2 linked regions of the Tamandua tetradactyla genome follow. The protein of the gene in region 2 binds, or shares a complex with, the protein of the main gene of each other region. Links are inferred from orthologs where the notes say so. Each region holds a gene or a part of one and is shown on either strand. Other genes may lie near its edges.

The links.
Region 1: the proteins of GNAI2 (region 2) and P2RY12 are in contact, whole or in part, in a cryo-EM structure (PDB 7XXI), measured with the Homo sapiens proteins. The link is inferred for Tamandua tetradactyla from reciprocal best matches to the Homo sapiens genes GNAI2 and P2RY12. Residues at the interface, in NP_002061.1 of Homo sapiens: Arg24, Glu28, Ala31, Arg32, Leu195, Glu319, Ile320, Tyr321, Phe335, Phe337, Asp338, Ala339, Thr341, Asp342, Ile344, Ile345, Lys346, Asn348, Leu349, Lys350, Asp351, Cys352, Gly353, Leu354, Phe355; in NP_073625.1 of Homo sapiens: Phe59, Asp121, Arg122, Lys125, Thr126, Pro129, Phe130, Thr132, Asn134, Pro135, Ile212, Leu216, Ser219, Tyr220, Arg222, Thr223, Arg224, Val234, Lys237, Ile241, Leu301, Cys302, Lys303.

Annotation. Positions count from the first base shown.
Region 1 is NC_135331.1:44,951,975-44,955,885, forward strand, and holds the start of P2RY12 (P2Y purinoceptor 12), read right to left. Parts: upstream 2,114-3,911; 5' UTR 2,012-2,113; exon of another isoform or gene 1,990-2,011; intron 1,973-1,989; exon of another isoform or gene 1,505-1,972; coding exon of another isoform or gene 1,369-1,504; exon of another isoform or gene 1,196-1,368; coding exon of another isoform or gene 1,086-1,195; exon of another isoform or gene 1-1,085. Other genes in the region: MED12L (mediator of RNA polymerase II transcription subunit 12-like protein), read left to right, coding at 1,086-1,195, 1,369-1,504, 2,346-2,507. UniProt on the Homo sapiens protein: Receptor for ADP and ATP coupled to G-proteins that inhibit the adenylyl cyclase second messenger system. Not activated by UDP and UTP. Required for normal platelet aggregation and blood coagulation.
Region 2 is NC_135341.1:35,847,475-35,851,385, reverse strand, and holds the start of GNAI2 (guanine nucleotide-binding protein G(i) subunit alpha-2), read left to right. Parts: upstream 1-956; 5' UTR 957-973; coding exon 974-1,091; intron 1,092-3,911. UniProt on the Homo sapiens protein: Guanine nucleotide-binding proteins (G proteins) are involved as modulators or transducers in various transmembrane signaling systems.

The sequences.
Region 1 (3,911 bases), on a different chromosome or scaffold from region 2:
TTCCAGCTTTCCGTTCCCACTGTGTGCAGACTCTGCACTACAAAGTCAGGTCTTCCGCTGTTTGCTCTTTGTAACTACTTCCCTGATTCTCAAGCATCCTGTTTTCCTTTTGGCTTTCCTTCCTGTCTGGTCTGACTTCTGAAAAGTAGTAGGTATTTTAGGCATTGGTCTGCCCTTCCCCTCTGTTTTTCCTCTCCTCAGCCTCAGTGAATCTCTCCTGCTCTTGAGTTTGTTCTTAAGCATAGGTCTCAGAGGACTGCTATTTTGAGTAGCTTTTGCTCTATATTTAAAAAGCATAAAAGGTTCTTTAATTTAAAAATGTTGTCAAACGTTCCATCACATTGATCATTTACAAACAAATCCACAGTGAGATTTCAGATACACTTAAAAATTTTTTTACCCATTGTACATTCCTTTGAAGTTTTATTTTCTCATCAGACAAGCCCAAAATTAATTCCTACACTGAAAGGTGGCTTGCCTGTTACTTTGCCTTATTTTTTAACGGGATCCCCACATATGAATCTGGTTGGGCTGTGAGCCTAGCCTCCTGGCCATCATTAATTCTGCATTAATGGATATTTCTAAGTGTTTATGATAGCAAGAATAAATTCCATAGTAATCAAATCTATAGGTAGTTGGCTTACATCATTTTGATGTGTTCAGGCTTAATGTGACTAAATTTACATCTTAAATCAGGATATCTTGAAAGATTACGAACAAAAGAAAATGTACCATTTAATTCATATCAGTGAGGTACCTACACTTTTGCATCAGCCGTTTTGAAATCACATGGTGAACTTCTGGTCATGTGATCCTCAAAGGACAGGCATGTTAGAACTGCTCCTAGAAAACACTCAGGTATACAAACACACACACACAAACACACACACACCCATCCTTTTTTTTTTTAATGCTCAAATTGCTGTGCTGAAAAGGGTGAAATGACAAATATTTAGCCAGGAGAGAAGACAGGATAAACTGATTTTTTTTTTTGAATAAACCAAAATTTGGCCACATGATAGCGCCGGGATAGTATTTTCTCTTTAATGTAATGCAGTCTTTTTAAATTGTCTTCTGTATGCTAGGTAGGAGGAATGTTTGACACAGTGCAGAGAAGTACTCAGTGGACAACAGACTGGGCGCTTCTACTTCTTCAAATAATTACTTCAGGAACTGTTGACATGCACACGAACAAGTATGATTTTATCATTTTGCATTTCTTTTGCTGCATGTGTACATGGTGTAAACTTGCTATAAATTCTGTCTCGTTACATTTTTAGCTACCATTCAAAATTCTGTGTCTTGCTCAGTTAAGTATATCTTGGTTTTGGTTTAAGATGAAAATAATTATTTTCTTTCACCTTCTAGTGAATTATTCACAACAGTTCTTGACATGCTGGGCGTTTTAATCAATGGAACATTAGCCTCTGATCTATCAACTGTGTCCCCAGGGGGATCTGAAGAGAACAAACGGGCTTATATGAATTTAGTAAAAAAACTGAATGTAAGTTTGTAATCTGCCTATCTTATGAACCCAAATTGTTAATGGATTTGTTATTTATTGGCATTTTTATTTAATTCACTACTCATTAAATGAAACATCAAAAATATAATTTTAACAAGCAAGGTGATTATTTATTGCATTCATTCACTTTAATTTAATAGGGTTATTTTGCCATTTTGTTTCACTTCAGCTTAGAAGAACCCAAAAGTACATGCATGTAACCTTGAAGATTTAAGTAATAATTATATTATCAAAACATGTTCCGTTTTTAAGGTACTTTAGAAATCCATGTTCAAATATGTAATCAAAATACCAGCATTAGATTTTGGATAAATCAATAGTTGGATTGGTACATTCAGAGGAAATATAGGCATTTTTCATTGATATTTCTAAATATAATTCATTCAATTAGCCACTAGCCTAACCTTCAAAATAAACTCTAAACAAACAGTGTAAAAGGAAATCAATATTTCTGATGGCCTTACCAATAAAATAATTGCTGGTTACCTTGTGGTCTGTCCCTGCACGCAAGAAAATGTTCCGTGCTGCAGCTTCTGCCTTCTGATTGCAAATAGTACCCTGAATTTTTGTCATTTCAGCACTGTGGTGTTGGTTGTGTAAGAAGTGTGACTTTATATATGTTCTGTTTCCTACTTAAATAGAAGAAATGAAACATACTCACGCCTCTAATTTAGAGCTGCACCATAGACCATGTTCAAGGTTAAAGAACATGCCAGTGATAGAAAAGGAAATGCTTCAAAGGAGCACTTCCTTCTTGTAACTTTGCCTTCATTGTAATTTCCAACTCATTTTTCCCTTTCTCTTTCTCTCTCTTTTTTAGAAAGAGCTAGGAGACAAGCGGTCAGAGAGTATTGACAAAGTTCGGCAATTGCTGCCTTTGCCAAAACAGACATGTGATGTCATCACTTGTGAACCTATGGGTTCCTTGATTGACACAAAAGGAAACAAAATTGCTGGATTTGACTCTATAGATAAAAAACAGGCAAGAGTAAATGTTTTTTCCTCATATAAATATATCAACTTATGAAAACCAAATACTTATCTTCAGTTCTGATTTTTATTTCACAATTTAGAAGCAGAATATGTTTAGATAAGAAAATTTTTCTTGATAAAAATCTTCATTAGTAAGCTATTCTGAGTAAAAAATATATTTTAAATGTAATGGTATTTCATATTCTAATCCAACAGTATTTAAAGAACACTTCTTTTATATAAGGTATTAAATAATTTTCTCTAAAATGTGGAGGAGAGCTCAGTCTTTCATTCAGTGAAAGTTGAGCAGCTGCAGACATTGTGCAATCACATAGGTGAAACATAGAGCTCTTACCTACGAGGGGAAATAGACGGGCGCAGTGTGGTAAGATTTGTCAGCTTTCACACCAAGAAAACGTTACTGGGACACTGAGGAGGAGCCAGCGAACTCAGATAAGAGGAGTTAGCAATGGGTTCCCAGAAAAAAACAACATGTACATCATTTTAAAGGCCAGGAGATAGAGAAAACTGAGATACAGGAAAGGGAAGGTGCAAGGACATGAAAAGATGTGACTCACAGGGGAAGTGCAATGCTGCAGTTATTTGGGATAGCCTGAGTACCTCATATCAGTGGGGGTGTAAAGAGAAAAAAAACTAGAGTCATGGGCAAGTTCTCTTTGTAGTGCCAGTGGGTTCTTCAGTGGGGAAACATCTCAAAGCCATTTGGAGATGTGATTTTGACACCCAGGAAAGAGGTTTAATCTCAAGACAGAGATTAGAAAGTATCAGTTTATAAAATGGTATTTGATCCTTGTGTTTTTTTATTATTATTATTGTAAATTTGTCATTCTGGACAATTTTAAGAAAGACAAAAGTAGAGAAAATAATATAATAAATACTCAAGTACTCATTACTAGTTGCACTGTTTTAGCATTTTGATCAACATTTTGCTAAATCTTATTTTAGCATCCGAGAAGATAGGATTTAACAAATGAGTATCACTGCTGAATCATACTGATATTTCTTTTATTCTTGTGTCTTGGTGCAGCTAGAAGGAAAAACTTAAAAGTGTGGAACTGTAACCCATACCAAACTCTGAAATCTTCTATAACCAGTTGTTGCGGTGTGCTTTGAAATGTATTGCTTTTTTTGTATATATGTTATTTTTTCATAATGAGAAATATAGATATTTAAGCCACATGCTGAAATATTTATGGGTGAAATGACAGTGTCTATGATTTGATCCTTGGTTTCGCATGACTTCATCATGGAATAGTATGTATTGATAAAAACAGGAATGTATTCACATTTTATACAAAGCTTGAGTGGGGGACTTTTTTGAGGAAATACTATTTCAAATTAGTATGCCATGGAAAGTACTATAAGATAGCACCAATTAATATTAAAAATCAGA
Region 2 (3,911 bases):
CACCAGTGGAGGACAGGCCCTGGAGGGGACAGGTCATAAGATCCTAGCAACTTCTGTTTTGAGAAGGCGGGTGGCAGCTGTCTCTCTTCTCTTTTTCTCAGGGCCCTGGCTACCCATTCCCAGCCTGTAGTCCAGGATGGCTGCCTGCAGGAGGAAATCTCCCAGCAGATCAGGAAAGGATGGACAAGCCTTGGATGAGCAGAAGAATAACCCCCCGCTGGTGGAAACAGCTTGGGCCAAAGTGTAGAGGTGGCAATCGATTTCATTTTCTTTGTTTTGCTGCAACCCAGGGAGAGAAGAGGGCAAACCTGCCTTAAGATAGAAAACTGCAGTCTTAAAGAGCTCCCGGGTTTGGGTAGATCCCGACACAAGTTTAAGGGGTTCGTTAACTTGTGACGAAGACACGCCTCTTCCACCTCACTCGCCTAACTCGCGGAAGCTCAGAGGGCGGGTTCCTGCTCCACCCGGGAGGTGCAGCGGTCCCCTAGCCTCGGGCTACCAGAACCTCCCACCGCCGCCGTCGGGCCGCAGAGCTCCAGACGCTTGGCTCCGCATCCAATCGAAGCCCGGCCCCGCCTGAAGCCCTCTCGGAGCCCAATCCGAGCGTTTACTCTACCTCTAGTGCCTACTCTCGGCGTGGCCCCGCCTCCAGCCCTGGCCCAAGGCTGGGCCCTGCCCAGCTTCATCCGCCGCTCCGCCCTCTAACCAATCACCGGCCTCGGATCTCTTCTGGGCCCGCCTCCGGACCCGCCCCGGCCCAGTCCCAGGCCTGGCTCGCTCGGGCCCCACCCCTGGCCCGCCCCGCCGTCGGTGCACGGCGGCGGGCAAGGCACCGCCCGCAGACGCTCGGAACTGTCGACCCGAGAGCTGCCCGCAGAGGGCCGGTGGCCGGAGCGGAGTTGGTCGGGCGGGGCCGAGCCGGGCCGGGGGCCGTGTGGGGGCCGGGCGGCGGCCGGGCCGGGCGGACGGCGGGATGGGCTGCACCGTGAGCGCCGAGGACAAGGCGGCGGCCGAGCGCTCCAAAATGATCGATAAGAACCTGCGGGAGGACGGCGAAAAGGCGGCGCGGGAGGTGAAGTTGCTGCTGCTGGGTGAGGCCGCGCCCCGCGCTGAGATACCCCCCTCCCCCCTTACCCTCCCGCCCCCTCCCTCAGTTCTGCCAGATTCCCAGACAAGGACTTCGAACTCGTAGACAAGGGCTTCGGACCTCCCCTTCGCTCCCGCCCGCGTCTGGACCCCCAAGCCTGGCCTGAAACCCCAGTCGGACCGTCACATAAGGATCCGAAATCCTAAGCTGAAGTCCAGGCTCTAGATAAGAATCCCAAATCATTCCAGACTCCAAACACCCAAACCCAGCCACCAGGCCCCCAACACCAGCTACCCAGAACCCTGCTTGACCATCCCTTGCCGACCAAACTTATAGACCCTCAGAAGCTGCCATCTTGTCTTTCCATCCTTCTTTAGACTTTACTCAAAGCCCCAGAACCCTACCTCGCCTTTACGTTCAGTCTCCACCTGTTCCCCTCACCTGCTCCCTCGTATTCCTATTGGGCATGAGCATCCCTGGGGCCCCTCCCAGGCCCCCCCCACTCCCTCCTTCCCCTCCTGTGCCCCATCCATACTCTGAACTTTATATCTTCTACCTGTGACCTCGGATTTTAAGACATCTCCTGCGTGAGAACCCACGATAGGGCACCCCTCACTCCAGCTGGAATCCCCGAACCTGTAGACGCTCTGCTCCCTGACTTCGGCCCCCCAGGTCCTCTGCAGGCATCACTCCCCAAAACGCTGTGCACACCCTCTCCCACTCTCTGGCCTTCCCCAGGTTCGCCTACCCCTGCACTATTGGGCCGGGCCAGGAGGAGGGGCCCAGGGGCTAGGGTGAGGTAGCAGGCTCGTTAGACCTCCCAGGAGGGGGCTGGAGTGAAGCCCCACTCAGGCTTCTCTGGGAGTTTCCGCTTGCATTACCTTTTTAAGTTTCAAGACCTACTCCTGTGAGCCCCCAGGCAGTAGGAGGGTGTGTGGGGGAGGGGCAGGGGTGAGTTGTTGGGGTGGAGTGGGGGTTGCGGCCACTTCCAAGGCCCGGGAAGATGGTGGCTGCTCAAATGGTGGAGGGAAGTGGAAGTGGTGAGACAGCCGACATATTGCCGCCCCTGCGGGCGGGCTGAGATCCGCTGACGGCTTGGGAACTGGCCTGAAGAGCTGGTCTGAGGCCTTCGGAGTGGATGGAGCTGTAGTATCCTGGGACCCTCCTAGTGGGGGAGTGGTGGACCAGCTTCATGAGGGTATGGGGGACCAGCTGGGGGTCAGTCAGGTGCCTCTGAGCCTCTGCGCTAGGCTTTTGCAAAGGTGGGGGGTCCGGTGGACATCCTGGACCAGCTCCCCATGGGGAAGCTTGAAAGCCTGATTTGGGGATTTCAAGGGGTTTTATGGGAGGCCCCCACAACAGTGTTAGAGGCTGAATAGTATATGTGTGTGGGGGTGTGGCCCCTCGGCCTCAGAGCTGCTGTGGAGACCTCAGGTTGTGAAAAGCAGAGCTTTGCAGGCTGGGCCTGTGGCTGAGGGACAGCAAATAACTGTCCATTCATGGGCCCATCTGTTGACTGTCCCCAGGGGCCTGGCCTCAGGGGCGCAGCCCCAGAGGTTTCAAAATGGCATCCGCTCTGCTGCCGCCGCCGCAGGGAGGAAGAGAAGGGGCGGGAAGGGGCGGCGGCCCAGCCTCCTGGGCTGCTTTGCGTTGGGCGCTTGCCTCTTCCTGTCTCTGCTGCTGCGAAGAGCGGCGGCGGCAATGAGTGGGTGTCGACGCGGCGGAATGCTTGTTGCTGCCCGCTGGGCCTGGGGAGGGCACTTCCGGTCCTACAGCCTCTCGGTGCTCAGCTTGGGGTCTCTAGCTATCCCCTTACCCAGTCGATTAAGCTGGTGGCTAAGGAGATGTGGGACTAGAGTAGAGGTGGGGACACAGGGCTCCTGGCCTATTCTATGCCCCAGCCCTAGAAAGGCCCTCCGTCCTGCCAGGATTGCCCCTTGGAGCTCGGCTCAGCTTTTGGGCCAGGCCAGGTGGAGCCCAGTAACCCCTCCTACACTGAGCTGGCAGCAGCCAGGAGTGCAGTATCGGTCAGCATTTTCTAGCTTGGTGAGCCCATCCCAGCATCCTGCCTCTCTGGCCTTTTCTTCCTCTCTGAAATGGGCTTCCTGGGCTGGCCAGGGAAGGGCCACAGGAGTGCCAGGGCCCAGCTGGGAGAGAATAGGAGCTTCAGGGAGGTTTCTGTTGGTGATGTGAGTAGGGGTTAGGACCTGCAGAGCATATACTGCAAGGGGCTGGGAGAGCAAGCTCTTCCTGAAATTGAAGATTTAATCTGCCACAGTTGCCTGGGGAGCAGTCCTGGCTGACCCATCCTTTTTCCCTCCAGGTACATAGTGGTGGTGGGAGCTTGGCTGTGGCAGGTTCAGAGTGCTGGGCGCCTGTCCCACATAGCGGGAGAGACTCTGTCTGGGCAACGGGACTTGGGCTGGGCATTTGCCAGCCTTCCCTCCCAGCCAGAGCCACGCCTGCTGCCCCACCCGCATACAGGCTCCCTCCCGCTCGGGGTGGCCCGGCCAGTGGGCGGGTACATTCATTGTCACTGGGGCAGAAGCAGACATGGTACACATTGGCGAGAGGACTTTCATTAGATAGCTTGGTGGGGGGAGCAGAGGAGCTGAAAGCTGCTGTACTCCGGGGATACCCTCACCCCACCAGTTCAGCTTGATTGAGTTCAGGTGGAAATCAGGTCCTTGGGCTGGACACGTAGGGGAAAAGGAACCCAAAGCCCAAGGGAAGTCTCTGTTTTGGGGTTGGGCTTATGTGGGCAGCCTCACAGAAGAAAGGAGAGGCAGGGCCCACGGATGGGTCCAAGAGAGCTTCAGGGTAC